Linked DNA regions of Drosophila melanogaster. The protein of the gene in region 1 interacts with the protein of each later gene in a pairwise test. Each region holds a gene or a part of one and is shown in the gene's direction. Other genes may lie near its edges.

Region 1 (6,827 bases):
AGAGGATGTGCTCCTCCTCAAGAAGAAGCATCTTAACGAGGAACTAAGCACCCTGCGAGCCGACCTCGGGGAGCGGAAGAAGCAGATTGAGGCGATGAAGGCGCGCTTTGAACTTACCGCCCAATTGCTAGGCAAAAACGAGGACGGCTCCATCATGACCAGCACACAGCTGAAGGTGGTGAGCGCCCAGGAACGGCAGATGCTGGCCGACGAGGGCGATGCCCTCAACAAAAAGGTTCTCAAGGCTGAGAAGGAAGTGGTCGCCCTGGAAAACACACTGCGCCAGTTCGACAAATCGAACGATAACTACCGAAAAACATTCCGATCTGTGGACGAAAACTCAAAGGGTGAGTTATAAATGACCATTCAGAGTGGAAAGGGTTACTAGTATTAGCAACATTGCTCTAATTTTGAATTTTAATAACACTCACAGATACAGATATTGAATAGGAACAAATTAGGTTTTCTGGCTCTATAAAGAATAGATATTCTTGATCAAGATCCATACCTGAGTCGATCTGGCCATTTCCGTCCGTCCGTTCCGACTTTCAGTAACTATAATAGCACATTAAGCGGTCATATTCTAGCCATGTCTACAAGCCGGGTGGCTTAGAATTGTGTAATTCAATGTTAAATTGGTAGATTTTTTCCATACTTCTAATTTCTAGATCGCGAGCGGGCCGAACTGGAGCTGAAGGAACTTGAGGCGGCCTACTGCCGCGAGCTGGAAAAACTGAAGGTTCTCAGGTGCAAGGCACAGCACTACCAGCAGAAGCACGCAGCCCAGCGAGCTGAGGAGGAAGACCTGATTTCCAAAATAGAGAAGGCGAAGGCTAGTCGGGCGGAGCACTCTGCAGTTCTGGAGAAGATCGAGCGCGAACTAGATGACCAGCGAATGAAGCTGGACAGGGCCAATCGAGAGATCCGGACACAGTTGCGGGAGATCAAGGCGCGGCCCTTTAGCGAGGAGTACCTGGCGCAGTTCGAGCGGGATCTGTCTCTACAGGAGCTGGAGGCGCGTAACACCAAGGCGCTGAACATGATCACCGATCTGGCGAACAGCGACGAGAGCGGCACGGATATAATTGGAATCCTCTTGCGAAAAGGAATCAAGTTGCCGATGCACCTGAAGCGCACGTGCAGCCGCGTGTCCTGGAACAGCAGCTCCTCGGGCAAGTCCTCGCAGGGTCAGGACACCGCCTCCTACCTCAATGTTAAGGGCAAGAAGTTCTCCTGCGACGGGGCTAGTGCCCGGTCCTCCGTCTCCGACATGAGCTCCCTTAAGGATGACACATCCTCCACAACCTCCCACTCCGGACTGAGCATCATATCGCTTGAGTTGCCCTTGCCGAAGAAAAAATAATAGTCTAAAATATATTTATTTATTATTCCGTTCGATATCCGATGATCTCAACCCGTATGCTCGTATCTTCACGTGTTGGCATCGCAGTGTTTACAAATTGACCATCTAAACGAAACAGCGAATAAAATGCGTTGCCCAAGCGGGTCAAAACAAGAGAGCATCGCGGCCATAAAAATAGCACACAGCGATTCAGTGGGGGTATAGCTCGGTGCACATACACATAGGCGGACAAATGTGTGTGTCTAGGCGATTGCTTGTTTAAATCGCTGAATAGTAAATACTCTACAAAAGTATTACACAAAATATGTATATTAGCTACCACCTTTGGTGTGGGTTTTGTATTGGTTTTGATCAGATCTCAAGTAAGCTCATTACAGCATTAAGATTTAGACGGATATGCTAATTCAATCTGAAATACTCAATCTTCGTATTTTCCTAATAAAGAAATATATATAATAATAATATTTTCTCAGTTCTTATTTACGAAAATGAAACGAATGATTTTCACTGGTCCGAAACTAAAATCGAAAGAAGAAATCTCCAATAAGAGTACATATTAATGTGTTTACTTTTTATGGAGTGCTTAAAAAATGGAGCGACAATTGCAGTAACCAACCATATTCCAATTGGATATTGGCGGAAAAGCCAATTATTAAACCAATCTGGCGATAATGATAGATCTCTAGATAAGTCCCGCAAATCGCATGTGGTCATCTCAGCGAATTGCTCCTGCGCATCGTGCGTTACAAAGACTAGAACGAAGGCTATATGGCCGCCAGTGCAACATATATCGGCCAGAAATAATTCTACATACATATAGTATATAGCCGTGCTCAGAGCTATATTTCGAAATGAGCTACCCAGAGACACGGAGAAAAGAGACTGCCTTGTTCGAGAGATGGGATTTCGGTGCTGCGAGTGTTTCCGAAAGTCTTCTTGACGATTCGACGATCCGCGCCGGGCATTTCATTATTTTTCATTATTTCGTTAGCTGGCATCGGTGCCGAGAAGTCAGATTGCTGGGCCCAAAGTTTTCAAAAATCTTCACTTGCTGATATTTTTAGAAAATTTTGAAAGCAGAAAGACTAGGCAGTCTGGGAATGGACTCCTGAATAGATGATCACAGACCGAACAGGAGGATAATCCCAATAGGAGGTGAAGCATTTGCATAAGATTCGATTGAGTGCACTGGCGAAATGTGTTCCACCTCGGTGCTGTGTCCGCTCTGCGCGGTGCCCAGTTTCGGCAGTATTGACGCACTGCAGCAGAGGCTGATCAAGGCGGCCAACGGCCCACTGGCCTGTCCCTTTGCCAACTGCAAGGAGCTCTTCCTGGGGCTGGACAAGCTCACCATCCACCTGTTCTCGCACACAAGTCTGATGGCTCAGGAGGGAAACGAGAGTCCAGCGAATGGCCAACCCGCCTCGTCCCGGGGCTTCCTTGCCGCAGCTCCTCCCAAACGGAGGGCCAAGCGAACCAGGTCCAAGCCCGTCGTCCCAACCCCACCGCCTGTGCGGACCACCCCGCCCGCCCACTGCGACATTTGCGAGTTCAGTTTCCGGAATACCGAGCTGAGGGACATGCACGTCCGCTTAGTCCACGAAAATGCGGAGGGAGAACCCAAGCAAAAGGAACCCCAACAGAAGGAACCGGTAACTATTGGCTATGTACATATATTAAGTGCTATTATCTAAAGAGTTTCGTAATGCACTTTCGCATATTCTTATATCGATTTTGATTTTTTTTTTCTATGCTCACTGGCAGCAAAAAAAAATCATACTTAAAAAGCTAGACCATTTACATTGAATCTGAAACAAAAGTTTGACGTAATTAAAATCAACAACAACAAGAAAGAAATCTATATACCCTTATATTTTAAAAACAACTGATGTATGTACGTATATCGTTCCCATTATTTTCAATTAATTTTTCAACTGTTCATATGACTATGTATATATATGATAGATATTAATTTGTTTTTGATCAATTTAAAACCATGGCAACTTTGTGATATAGTGAATGAAAGTGAATGATTTTTGTGCATAAATTTGAAACTGAGAGACAGACGGTAATGTAATGGAATATTTGGCCATGAGGGCATATTGATGAATTGATAAATATAAGTGAAATTCCGATTATTGCTTTATACAGGACCAGGAGCCCTACAAGTGCCATCTCTGCTCCAAGACGTTCCGAATGAAGGGCTCCCTTCGAATCCACCTGAAAGTAGTGCACATGATGGGCGTGCCCTGCTCCAATCCCAATCCAAATCCTAATCCCAGTCCTACACCCGCTTCTACCACCAGTGCAGTTACTGCCACGCCCAAGCTGAGCATTTGCGATCGCATTCGACACACAGAGCCTGGAGCCCTTGGCAACGGAAATAACTCCACGTGCACCGCATCCCAGCCATACGCGCTGAGTGGGGCGCTGAGCATGCTCCAGCAGTCCCCCAGTTCGCCGGAGTCGGGCACGGCCACCCCGAAGCTGTGGGAGTGCGATGTGTGCAGCAAGTCCTTCACCACCAAGTACTTTCTGAAGAAGCACAAGCGGCTCCACACCGGCGAGATGCCGTACACATGCGAGATCTGCGCCAGGACCTTCACCTTCCAGCAGTCGTACCACAAGCATTTGCTCTACCACAGCGAGGTAAAGCCCCATGTCTGCGGGGTTTGTGGACGCGCCTTCAAGGAACTGTCTACGCTGCATAACCACCAGAGGATTCACAGCGGCGAAAAGCCCTTCAAGTGCGAAGTCTGCGGTGAGTATCGATCAAACCCCTTAATTAGCCGCCCCTTATTTTGTTAGCCAGCTTATAAATGAGCATACTCCATTGCGATTTGCCCTATTTACTTTAAATGAAGGAGAGGTATACCTTCTTTTCCGGGTCACTCCATGTCTAACCTTTTCGTATTTCGGACTCGTCCACAGGCAAGTGTTTCCGGCAGCGAGTCTCTTTCCTTGTCCACACGCGCATCCACACGGGAGTGATGCCCTACAAGTGCGAGCTCTGCCAAAAGACGTTCAGGTACAAGGTCAGTCAAAGGACCCATCGATGTCCCACCGAGGAGGCCCAGACACCGGAGCAGCTGATAAAGGCGTTCCTGGAGGGCAACGACTCGCATACTCAGCCTTCACCAGCGAGCGCCGAAATAGCTGCCATCAACAGCAGCTCCATTGTGGATCCTGAGCAGGAGGCACTGCTTTCGCAGTCAATCGACGACATTGTCGTTGAGCAGTGCCAAAAGCTGGGCATCTGTGGTGTGGAGCCGCGGGAGGAGGGACAGCTCATATCCCTACAGCCGGTTGCGGTGGTACACTTCAGCGGGAATGGCTCTCCGCTGCAGCAACTCCAGAACTTGAGAATCTACTCACCGCAACAAACAGAGCTACCTAGTTCCGATGGCGAAGTCTTCCAGCGCTTTTTGATGGACGCCACGTAGTTGGAACGAAGATGCATATATCCACTTAATTTATACCCTTTTATATCATTTTACATTGTTTGCACTTCCCCAAAGGCGATCTAATCAATTCCTAAGCACCCCCTAAGAAAAACGTCTTAATTACATCTTCTTATGAGGATATTATTTGAATCTTAGTTGTTTTATCTCAGCCAAGTGTAAATCGACTAGGACCCGACTTGTTTGCAATACAACAACAACATCTAATATAAATTATGTTAAACTGCCGATTTTATTTAAAACTATTCTGGGCAACGAACCCGAGCGCTGAGTTGAGGCGAAAATGATATTAAATCGAGTTAGTTCAGTTTTCAAATGTACTTGGTTGATTATAAACTTATTTATTATGAACGCCGTTTTTTGTAATTAATCATTCATCTGAGGCGCTTCCAGAGCTGGATCCTGAACCAGAAGGCGAGCCACTGCGAGACCGGCTGGGCGATCGCGACCCAGAGCCAGATCTGGAGCCCGAACGTGATCGGGAACCGGACTTGGATCTCGACCTAGAACGCGACCGAGAGCCGGACTTGGAACGGGATCGGGAACGTGATACCGATCTCGATCTGGATCCGGATTTCTGGGATCCTGCCGGCGAATTTGTGCGTGATCTGGAGCCGCTACCAGACCGAGAACCAGACTTTGAGCGGCTGCTGGCCCGAGAGCCGGAGCCAGATCCAGATCCTGAACTGGACCCGCTGCGAGTTCGACTCCGAGAACGAGACTGTCGATCGCGGGCTACCTGGGCGGGTGAGTCCGCTCCAGATGCTGCCTGTGCGCCAACAGCTGCGTCCTCGCTCGTCTTCTCCGTCTCGCCAATGATTTGCATTTGCTCCTCTTCCCTCACTTCTTCCACGATCTCCTCCTCCTCGCCAGGAACTTCTAGCTGGCGCTCGCGATAGCGCTGCATACGATGCTCCATGCTGTCCAATGGACGATGCTTGACAACCTGGTAGAAATAATACAAAGTAAAGCTCGCTATAGATGTATGCGCATAAATATACTTACCAGCTTGGTGTTGTTGGGTTGCTGGCCAACCTTAACGCGACGCTTGTTAAGGCGCACACGGGTTTCTAGCTCGTTGTAGTAGATGCCGTCCTGACGCATCACGAAGAAGTAGTTTTCTTCGTAGCCCTTGGAAGCTTTGGTCTTCACGTTCCAGTTGTACTCTCGAGCGATCTTGTACTCGTACTCCTCCTCCTCCTTGTACAGCTCGCCATTGATGAAGTCTGTACGGCGTTTCTCCAGCGTCTGCTCTGTGGGCAGGAAGTAGGCGACAAACTGTTCGCCGCTCTCGTCCATCACACCACGAATCATGGCCTGCGACATCTCCTCCAGCTGGGCGGGCACGTTCTTGCCCGCAGGAGCGGGATCACTGTCAAATATGACCTGGGCGCACGGGAACTTCCAGTTGGTGAAGTCGGGGAAGATAGGCAGTACCTCCACTGGCACCACATTGGGCTTGGAATAGTGCTTGGTAATTTCGCTCTTGGTGTCGCTGAAGGTCTTCTCGATGGCTTTGATCTGGGCTTCGCGGTCCAGGTAGAGAGTCTCCTCCCGAAGCGACTTCTTGACGTTGTAACCGACCTTGGCCTCGATGTTCTCCAGGTTCTGGGGCTGGAAGCGCGTCTGCTCGGTGGAGATGTACTCGGATTTGCGCAACCATGACACCGTCCTCGAATGCTGGCGCGAACGCACAGAGTCTGTGGGCGTCAGAGTCTCCTCCTCCAGCAGTTTTTCATCGGCGGGGTCCAGCAGCGTCATGGAGTCGGCCTGATAGAGCTCCCGGTTAATCAGGTCCACCGTGACACCCAAATCGTGTTCCGTCAGCACGTCATACTTGAAGTTACGCTCTAGCGACGTTGGGTTGTACTGCACGAAGCGGTGGCTGTCGAAGGGGTACTGCAGAAACTTCAGATCAAATGGTATATCCGGCAGGTTGTTTCCATACTTCACGCGGCAAATGATCTCGGATCTGCAAGGTACACATCAGTCTGAGTATCTGG
Region 2 (5,447 bases), on another chromosome or scaffold:
ATCATCCACACCGGCAAGCGGAAGGACAAGGCGCACACCGCGAAGGGCAAGTCGCCAGTTGAGTTCTTTCACCTGCGATCGAACGGCGGTGCGCTCACCACTCGCCTTATCCAAATTAATCCGGATGCAGTGCATCTCAACTCAACCTTCTGGTGAGCAAATTACCAATAATTTATTACTGTGGGTGGTAATAATCACCCAGTTTTTTTTTTTGAGATGTATGACAAGTGCGATTTTATTGGATCAACATTCTTGTCTTATCGTTGGTTGAAACTGAAATTCCTGGAAGCCTACGTGATATGACACAGTATTATTTATATATATCCAAAAGATAGCGAACATAGTAGTAGTCGCTCCAATATTTATATTCCATACGCATTATTTCAGCTACATACTCCATGTGCCATTTGAAACGGAGGACGATTCGCAGTCGGGGATTGTGTACGTGTGGATAGGCAGCAAGGCCTGCAACGAAGAGGCCAAACTGGTGCAGGATATTGCCGAGCAGATGTTCAACTCGCCGTGGGTGAGCTTACAGGTGGGTTCCATGTGTTAATGTGGTTCAACCATGTAGTGGGCTGTTTTGTGGAATATATTGTACATATGTTTATATTAAGGTACACGCTCTTGTTAATCGTTTCTTTTCATCCATCCTTTGCAGATTCTCAACGAGGGCGACGAGCCGGAGAACTTCTTCTGGGTGGCGCTGGGCGGCCGCAAGCCTTACGATACGGACGCCGAGTACATGAACTACACGCGGCTGTTCCGGTGCTCCAACGAGCGCGGCTACTACACGGTGGCCGAGAAGTGCGCCGACTTTTGCCAGGACGATCTGGCCGACGACGATATCATGATCCTGGACAACGGCGAGCACGTCTTCCTGTGGATGGGACCGCGTTGCAGCGAGGTGGAGGTGAAGCTGGCCTACAAGTCCGCCCAGGTCTACATCCAGCACATGCGGATCAAGCAGCCGGAGCGGCCGAGGAAGCTCTTCCTCACGATGAAGAACAAGGAGTCGCGCCGTTTCACCAAGTGCTTCCACGGCTGGAGCGCCTTCAAGGTGTATTTATAATTTTAGCCAACTGAAGGAGCATCGTCGAGTAGTTCTTTTAAATTTCCCTAATTCATGCACCGCCGCTATGTGGCCATTTAGGTCTCCGCAAGGAAAGCGCCTAAAAGGCGCTAGTTTTTGTCTTGCTTGTCTCGATTGGCGCCTTCGAGTCCCTGTCAGAGCTAGTGAATCGGCCTCGGGAAGTGCATTTATTAACCAGAAGTCGAAGAGCACGCCTGCAATGTGAGTTTAGTTTTATGAAATGAATAGAGGCACCTTAGAGGTGTTACCCACTAATCTTAGCCCGTTAGAGGAGCCCCATCGAGTTGTAAATTGGTCATTAAGCATTAAGTTAGACCTCTGTTAGCCGGATGCGAATGTTGTTCGCTGGGAAGATGCGCTGGGCAGCTGCCGTGACAGAGTAGCTGCCCCAGAAGACATGACAAAGCAAAATTGTATCGAGGGAAAAAGAATGAAAGGGCCAAGCCAAGCCCTTCCTTCAGGTCGTGAGTGAAGATCGTGTGTTTGTACTTTTATAAAATGTATTTAATTGTTTTGTATAATTAATTTAAATTTTTTTATTAGCTCACTTGCTCCCGCCCCTAACTAAATAATTAGCTAACTCCAAGAACGCCAAGTATTCGCCCACTCCCTGCGAGAAAACCACATGAGTATATTGAATGCAAATATACATACATATGTATGTATATCACATATGCCTACAAATACGCAATATATATATATATATATATATATACATACGCTGAGCTGAGAGGATTACTCCCCTGTGCTAGTCCTTTTAAAATGTTAACCTACTTAAAGCTAGCCTGTAATAAAGTCAAGGAAGCACTAAAACTAATTGTACAAATGCCCACGTATTTATTTTATTTTTATTAATCCCCTGAATAAACATTAGAAAAATTGAAATTCCTCTATTCGTGTCGCGGATTGAAGGAGGTATTGGAATAGATTTAATTAAGTTATGTGCTAATTTTTCGGCAAAAGATACATATAACATATCAGAATAGCACATATCAGCACATTATTGTTAGTTCGCTGCTATTATATTGGCCTCAGCTGTATCTGCGGTTAGCGAGTGCACCCACCGCAGTTAGCACGTGCCAGCACCTTATTTGGCGAATTCGCCACCATGTGTATCGATATGTCGATGGCAGGCGCTATCGATTTTGATGGATGTTCTCAAAGCGTGTTCGGCGCGGTCACACTGGTGGTTTATTTTATTCCGAAAACTATTTGTAATTTAACTCAAATTAAGTGAAAACAGCATGCCAGATGCCGAGCAACTACCGGACGGCTGGGAGAAGCGCACTAGCCGCTCCACAGGTAAGCATCGTGTGCAGTCCCGCTCGTGCCATGCCGGCGGTTTTCCGGCGGAATGCGGAACCGGCACGCTAAACTGAACCTGCACTTGATTGATCATGATTGATTTTGCAGGAATGAGCTATTATCTCAATATGTACACAAAGGAGTCGCAGTGGGATCAGCCCACAGAGCCGGCGAAGAAGGCGGGCGGAGGATCCGCCGGCGGCGGAGATGCACCGGACGAGGTGCATTGCCTGCATCTGCTGGTTAAGCACAAGGGCAGTCGGCGTCCCAGCTCGTGGCGCGAGGCGAACATCACGCGCACCAAGGAGGAGGCCCAGCTGCTCCTCGAGGTCTATCGCAACAAAATCGTCCAGCAGGAGGCCACATTCGACGAGCTGGCCCGCTCCTACTCCGACTGCAGCTCCGCCAAGAGGGGCGGCGACCTGGGAAAGTTCGGCAGAGGTATGTATATCTCCCCACTGTGCATTTGTCACACGTCCAGGATCGAGTGGTCCTCGATGTGTGTCCGTTTAGGAATAAGGCGCTTCCCACTTGAGGCGCAATCCAGAAACAGATTGGTACTTCCACTAGAGGCTCTGATTGTTTTCAATATTCAAGAGAAGAGAAGAGAAGATATATCGACCACTAATAGATTATAGATGCATAGTTATAGACAAACACTATTTGCAATTGGCTCCGCGGCATTTCTTTTTTAATCTTCCTTACCTTACACATTTTTGTACCTATAACTTCGCGAGCTACTTGCAATCGTAGAGTTTAGGCCACCCAACCGACCTGCAACTGCTTCTAATTACATTTCACATCTCACAGGTCAGATGCAGGCGGCTTTCGAGGACGCTGCCTTCAAATTGAACGTCAACCAGCTGTCGGGCATCGTCGACAGCGACTCCGGCCTGCACATCATCCTGCGCAAGGCATAGACTCATCGAGCACCGACCCACAGCACAACTCGCGTCCCTTCACATGAATAAAACGGAATGCCCAGCCATTTCAATATAGAATTATTTATTGTATTTTAAAATGTTAGGTCTTGTCTAGGCTAGAAGCGTTTCTCATTTGCCAATGTCCAGTTTGGCGGCCAGTAGCTTGGCTCCGGGCGTCTTACGGTCCGCGAGTATCTGGCTAAGGCTCCTCTCCGCCGCGATGGCTTTCTTGCAGTCGTCCAGCAGTGCGGGACACTCCTCCACCAGCTTGAGCAGGACAAAACAGGCCCGGTTGACGCCCAGCCAGGCTTTCAGCTGAAAAGGGAAAGGGAATCGCAATTAGGAATTGGAATCTGAGTGAAGCTGTTTACTTTGCGACTACTTATTTATTAGACTAAAGCTAAAGGAATGTCGAAACGTCATTAAATAAAAGAAAAAACTCAAAAGTACGATGCGTTTCTCATGACTGGGAAAAAGGAAGATACCCTCGGTTACCGGATGGCATGATTTTTGGGTACTTACCACATCGGAGGACAAGTTTTGGAGTAGCTGTTGGCTGAACGGGGTGCCCTCTCGCTTGCCATCGTTCTTGAGTATCTTCTTCAATACAATGTGCATGCCGGCCTCCTCGATTCCGGAGACCAACGGAGCCGCCGGCTCCTCCTCCTTTGCCTTTGGCTTTTTGGGCTCCTTTTTGGCTTTCTTCACCTTGGGTTCGGCATCATCTGCGGCCGCCTCCTTCTGCTCCTTCTCGTCTCCTTCATCGTCGCTCTCCTCATCTTCATCTTCATCTTCATCTTCGTCGTCGCTGCTGCTCTCGACATAAAGCAGTTTTCTGCGCTGTTTGGTGGCCTGGGCTATAATGGCCTCCACGTCATTGTGAGGCTTCTTCTTATCCTGCGGCTGCGGACCGGCGGCGTCTGCTGAAATGCGCCACTCCGGTTGGACGACGACTTGGGCAAGGGCCGAAGCAGCCTTCTCATAGGACTCGCCTTGAACTAAAAGGCAGAGATGCAAACGTACATTAATATCGTGAACATATTCTTGTAAATCCATATGTATGTTTCTGCTATGGCTTTCAGAAGTGTGCACTTACTGTGATTAAGAATATCGCCGGTGACCAGGCCGATGTGGCTGTTGGACAGCCAAAAGGCGGCATCCTCGGCGATGGACTGTGCAATCGGCGCCTCTATCTGCTCAAGGATCTCCTTGCGACGCAGCTCCTTCTCCTTTTTTCCAAAGGCTAGACCCTCCTCCACCGTGCGAATGAACTCTGGATGGAAGCATGTCGTATCACCCGGAGCCACCAGCCATTGAATCACTCGTCGGCCGTACGGGCTGCTCATTAGCGCCTTTAGATCTCCGTGTAGGTGATCGTAAATTGCCTTCTTGGTCGCCTTAGTGTCGTCCAGTGCGTTTAGCAGCGAGATGAGGAACACGTGGCCGTGCTCATGGTTGGCGATCTTTAGCAGGTGCTCCTTGATATTCTTGATAATGGCCTGAAGAAGGGGTTAGAATACATATAAGATTCTGTTTCATCAACACACGTTATACGTGATCCACTTACTCTGCGATTCTTGGGCGTCGACTTGTAGAAGCATATAACAGCCGCCTCGCTGCCCTCCTTGGTGGACAGCATGTGAGGCACTAGAGCCGCAAACGCAGTGACCGTCTCCTCCAGCTTCTCCTCATCTTCGTCGCAGGCGCGCAGGTACTCCAGCATCACGGCGTGCACCAGCGCACTGTCCACCAGCTGCTTGTTGGCCACATGATCCAGGTTTGCTTTAACCGACCCCAAAATGGAGGCCTTCATGTTCGTGGCCTCCTTATAGGTGTCGCTCAGAGTCTTCACATTCGAATCCTTGGCCTTCCGGTACAGATCGCCGTAGAACTCCTGGCGCATATAGATGCGCTGATTGGGTGTGGCGCTCTGATACATCGAATCCAGCAGCCCACTGCCGATGCTGTGTCCGGCCAAACGCACTATATGTCCGTACAGGCTGTCCACCAGCTTGGCTTTGGTGGCTGGCGCACCGTACTTGAGCATCCGTTGCACGCAGAACTGGGCGTATTTCGACTGGCACATCTCCACGGTGAAGGGAAGCAGCTTCTCAGAGATCTCGGCC
Region 3 (4,954 bases), on another chromosome or scaffold:
CGCTCTTGGGGTAGATGCAGTTGCTCTTAGTCACGATCCGCACATGCTTGCCACTGCCCGTTTGTGGAGTCGCAAACTCTGCGCGCGCAGGCTGTTTGGGTGTGGACTGCGGCAGCTTACTGTTGGCCTGCTTCACTTGCAGTTTTCGAGAGGGAACAAAGATGTCCTGCTCACCGTCCTCTAAAGGGGCATCCCATCCGTTGGTCGGAGCATCATCATCAACACCGGCAGCCTTCGTTTTGGGAGTCGGCTTGGCCTTGGACTGTCCCTCCACCTTAGGTGTGGGCTTGGGCTGCTCGTCTGTCTTCGGCTTCGACTGCTCCTCCTTCGTCTTGGAGTGGTCCAATTTCTTGCGCTTCGCAGGCTCTTCTTTTTCTGCCTTCAAGGTCGGTTGATCCTCTATCTTGGGCTTGGACTGGTCATTCTTCGGCTTAAGCTGGCTTTTCTTCTTCACCTTCGTCTGGTCATCTTTGTTCTGCTGTGGCGGTTCTTCCTTTTTTGCTTTCTTCGACTTGGGCTCGGCCTCCTTGACCTCCTCTACTACCCATGCGTTGTTTATGCTAGAACGCACCTTTGCATTGTAATTCACCTTCTTCTGCAGCTCAGGAGGCAGAGCCTTGCTAATAACCTCATCGTAGTTGTGCTCGTCCACCTCCTCAAAGTTAATGGACTGCAGTAGGCGTTTGCGTTTGGATTTGTTGAGCTTCTTCAGTTTTCTTCCGGTTGCAAAGACCTCGTCCTCCATCTTATCTAAGGCAGCCACTTTTTGCTCCACCATTTCGGACAGAGTTTGTCCCTCCACCTTTGGCATTGTCCTCACGCCAAGTGGAAACTCTCCTCTCTGGTAAGTCTCAAAGATCTGGATAAGTTTGCGCAATCCCTTGCGTCTCTTGCTGTTAAAATCGTTGGTGCGTAGCTGCGTCTGCAGCTCATCTAGTACGCAATCAGCGTTGAGCGGCAGCTCCGGCATGTGAACGTCCACGTTGCCCGCTCGGGGATCCAAGGATGTGGCCCGCGGCTGCTCCTCCTCGGCGTTGACCTCGTCATCCTCCTCGTCAAATCCAGAATCTAGTTTCTCAATGTCATCAATGGAGGCGGTGGGGAAACCCATCTGCTTCCAGGCATTGTACTTTTCGCTGTACTGTCGTCCTAAGTCGCTCTGGTACATCAGATGATAGAGTACCCTTGTGCGGCACTGTGCCACTAGCTTAGCATCGCGTTGTGTAGCAATGTAGGTGACAAACGGACGCAAGAACATATTAACCTGAGCAGCAGTGATCTCACCATTGGCCGCCTTGGCCAGCTCCTCAAAGAAAACATCTAGGTAGTGCATGGTCATGCCGCGAGACTTAGGCTGCTCCGACATCACAGAAAGCTGCATGCTGCTGTTGAATGCGGCTATCAGGTCCGCATTCCAGTTGTTCTGTTTGAGGAATCTCAGTAGATAACGCACCATGCGGCGGGTGAGCATCAGGAATTTGTCCATGCGCCACTGATCTATGCCAAAGTACTCCTGGCACATTGTGCGCATAAACGCACTAAAGTAGGCCAGACTGCAGGCCGTATTACCGCCGAAGCTGTCCACCATTTGAGCCAACTTCTCGGCCAGCTCCTCCTGCACCAGCGGCTTATCCGACATCCACATGGTGTAGTACAATCCCTTCCAGATGCGCATGAAGTCGTCCTCGTTGAAGGGAAAGGAGCTACCGGCACGCGCCTTGAACCACTTGCGCAAAATGCGGATCTGGCGATTACGCTCCACCACATCGTTGCAGGCAAGAGCACGTATAATTTTCACCTCCTGGGCGACCACCATCAGCTCCTTGGCCACCTTCGGCTGTGAAGCGTCCTCCTCCTGCTCGACCTGGATTTCGGCCGCCTCGGCGTTGCGCTTAACTGGCTTCTTGCGCGTCACCATTATCCGGCTAATTCAACTTTTAGTTGCGAAAAATAAGTGAGCTGTGTATATTGAATACGGTACGGCACGACCGCACGTGTTGCCGTTCGATGTTGCCAGATGTTGAAACGACATTTTCTCCAAATTTCGTCCAACAGCTCTAAATGCATGAGCTGTACTGAAAATGACAACAAAAACTCAAGCTAATGAAATAATTTTCAAAGAATAAAATAAAGAAAAAAAGAATAATAAAAAGAATATTTAAATTGCTAGTTTTGATACTTCATGAAACGCTTGCTTTATACATTTTAATACAATTTTATATATTTTTAGCCATTTATAGGTTGTTATTTTATAGCTACCAGCGCTGACTTCTTTACGGAAAGTGGCAACTCTCTTCCACAGCTGATAATTCGGTCTGCTTTTTGTAAATTTTGCTTGTCCAGCAAATTTAGTTAAATAATTCAAAGAAATCATGCCCGTGGTGAACGTGTCGGCTGCCGAGGAGTACCAGAAGTACATTAATGCGGATAAGACGACCGTAGCTCTATTCGCCGCCGAATGGGCAGAGCAATGCGGTCAGGTGAAAGACGCGCTGGAGGAGCTGGCCAAGATTACTGGCGAAAAACTGCAGTTCATCAGCCTAAACGCTGAACAATTTCCCGAGATTTCCATGAAACATCAGGTACGCTCGTATTTATTTTATGAAAATATAACAGTAGTTCCTCATTCATTTGCGATGCCACCAGATCGAGGCCGTGCCCACAGTCATATTCTTCGCCAAGGGCTCCGCCGTTGACCGTGTCGATGGTGTAGACATCGCCGCCATAAGCGCCAAATCCAAAAAGTTGGCCGAAAACGCAAGCAGCGCGGCGGCAACAGGACAAACGTTGGAGGAACGCCTAAAGGCCCTAATCAATACAGCTCCGCTGATGATATTCATGAAGGGCGACCGAAATGGACCGCGTTGCGGATTCTCCAAGCAGCTCATCGGCATTGTGAACGAAACCAAGTATGCAAATTGATCATCAGTTGTATTTGATTTCAAGTTATAAACGAAAATATCCTTCGATAGCTTGCCGTACGAGACATTTGACATCCTCGGCGACGAAGAAGTGCGTCAAGGCCTGAAAACCTACTCCGACTGGCCCACATATCCCCAGGTTTACGTCAAGGGTGAACTTATCGGCGGACTCGATATTATTAAGGAACTGCTGGCGAACAATGAGCTCGAGTCCACGCTAAAGGGCTAATTCCATCGGATTGCATCTACTCCTACAGACACCATAAACCAGAAACAAATTTTTAGCTAGATCCTTAGACTTTTTAATGGTTTAATAAAGGATTTTTGCTACATTCTGGTATTATTTTATTCATCGAAATTTTTAATAACAATTGTATTAAAGCAAATGTGCTATAGGTCATCCATAAGACATCTTACACGGGCTTCAATGGTGTCACCATAAATGTTTACAAACTTAACGACATAAATATAGCTAGAAATTTGTAAGAACTTTTTTATACACCAGCCCTGGTTTATCTGGTATTTTGCGTACCTTCATTTTGTAAACAGCTGTTTCGGCGTCGGCATCTTGCACATTATTTTCGCAATATTATTTATATTATTGAAAATACCCATTAACTATAAACTTATATCCAAATCTTTAAATGGCTGAGGGTAATACCGCTGGCGGAGAGGACCAAAAGCTGACGGACATCTTTCTAAAGGGCTGGAACATATTCGACGAGCTAGAAGTTACCGAACTGCCCTTCAATGGCAGCGAATTTCAGGTGTGTAATATTGAAGATCTTCATATATATGTAATAAAAACCAGCATTGAACGTTTACCACAACGTTTAGAACAAAGTGAAGACTGCAATGGGCCTTTTCGAGCAGGCCACCGTCATTGTGAACCAGGTTAGCATGTTCAGTGCCAACGAGTTGATCGACGAGGTGTCCACGGAATCGCTACCATTCATGCTGCTCCCTTACTTTCTGGGCAAGCTTACCACTAAGATCAACAGCCCCAATAACACACACTCCATAGAGCTGGGCGAGATTTACTTCAAGGACCACCTGCAGCGTTGCCAGGAGTATGATCTCTGTGCAGCGCCCAAATCTCAGGTGGCTAAGGCGGATAGCCAAGCGGAAAAAAGCGAGCAGCGCGAGCTGGTAGAGGCAGCCTTCAATAGAAACGACAAAATAGCCCAGTATCGCCGGATGAAGGAGATTGACGAGTATATGGCCAGAATGCGCGATGCAGTCAAGAACAAAACGGTCGACGATGAGGATAAACGTGTCTTTTTCCTCAAGTATTTGGACAAGAGTATAATAGACTCCAAGCAGGAATTAGAAACATTGGGCGTAATGAAGCAGCTGGCCCAGATGCGCCTTGCCCGATTGGCTGGTGGCGAATCCGACAACGAAGTGGATTCGTTCCGTCCACCGAATCAAAATCAATCTTCTGCATCGTCCACCTCCCGCGGTCATGGTCACAGCCACGGACCCGGACACCACCACCATCATCAGCAGGCCGCTAAGCCAAAGCCCTTGCAGCCCTTCATCATAACACGTAATGCCACCCAGAAGGCGGTTTTCGGCTTGGGATACCCCAGTTTGCCCATTATGACTGTTGATGAATTCTACCAGCAGCGCGTCGACGAGGGCATCTTTCCTGATGAGGAGAAGGTTGCCAAGATGAATCAGGCACAGGCCATCGCGGCCGCCCGGGATCCCAACGAAAAAGAGGACGAGGAGAAGGCCGTTGAGGAGCTACAGGCGGAGCAGGATGATCCCGAGTATATAGACCGCATGAGGCGCATGGATGAATACAAGGATGTGGTGCGTCGCGGTGACGGCAACCGTCATAACCGTAGTTAAGGAACTCAAAATTTATGTATTTTTTTAAAACCCAATAAAATGGTATAACCGCAAGACTGGTTTTAAGTCAGTATATTCAAAAAATAATTCTAGTTTCTAAATTTATTTATAAATCCTAGGGATGCGCTATTGATAAAATAAAAATTGTTTTCTTTTTTATTGAATTGACAATATAT

Evidence for each region. The genes of interacting proteins can lie anywhere in the genome.
Region 2: the proteins of CG14655 (region 1) and dod interact in a two-hybrid assay, tested with the Drosophila melanogaster proteins (one large-scale study listed by BioGRID).
Region 3: the proteins of CG14655 (region 1) and Grx3 interact in a two-hybrid assay, tested with the Drosophila melanogaster proteins (one large-scale study listed by BioGRID).

What each region holds. Positions count from the first base shown.
Region 1 is NT_033777.3:4,775,807-4,782,633, reverse strand, and holds CG14655 (uncharacterized protein), read left to right. Parts: upstream 1-2,331; 5' UTR 2,332-2,559; coding exon 2,560-3,015; intron 3,016-3,514; coding exon 3,515-4,124; intron 4,125-4,294; coding exon 4,295-4,806; 3' UTR 4,807-5,137; downstream 5,138-6,827. Other genes in the region: Ccdc39 (Coiled-coil domain containing protein 39), read left to right, coding at 1-347, 669-1,363; atms (antimeros), read right to left, coding at 5,195-5,770, 5,830-6,796.
Region 2 is NC_004354.4:21,343,114-21,348,560, forward strand, and holds dod (dodo), read left to right. Parts: upstream 1-2,244; 5' UTR 2,245-2,337; coding exon 2,338-2,395; intron 2,396-2,506; coding exon 2,507-2,839; intron 2,840-3,208; coding exon 3,209-3,318; 3' UTR 3,319-3,450; coding exon of another isoform or gene 3,451-3,636; 3' UTR 3,637-3,745; downstream 3,746-5,447. Other genes in the region: fliI (flightless I), read left to right, coding at 1-152, 388-538, 662-1,072; peng (penguin), read right to left, coding at 3,451-3,636, 3,844-4,319, 4,418-4,820, 4,889-5,447.
Region 3 is NT_033779.5:13,364,159-13,369,112, forward strand, and holds Grx3 (glutaredoxin 3), read left to right. Parts: upstream 1-2,288; 5' UTR 2,289-2,372; coding exon 2,373-2,582; intron 2,583-2,646; coding exon 2,647-2,909; intron 2,910-2,972; coding exon 2,973-3,150; 3' UTR 3,151-3,252; downstream 3,253-4,954. Other genes in the region: Nnp-1, read right to left, coding at 1-1,918; Tap42 (Two A-associated protein of 42kDa), read left to right, coding at 3,566-3,688, 3,759-4,778.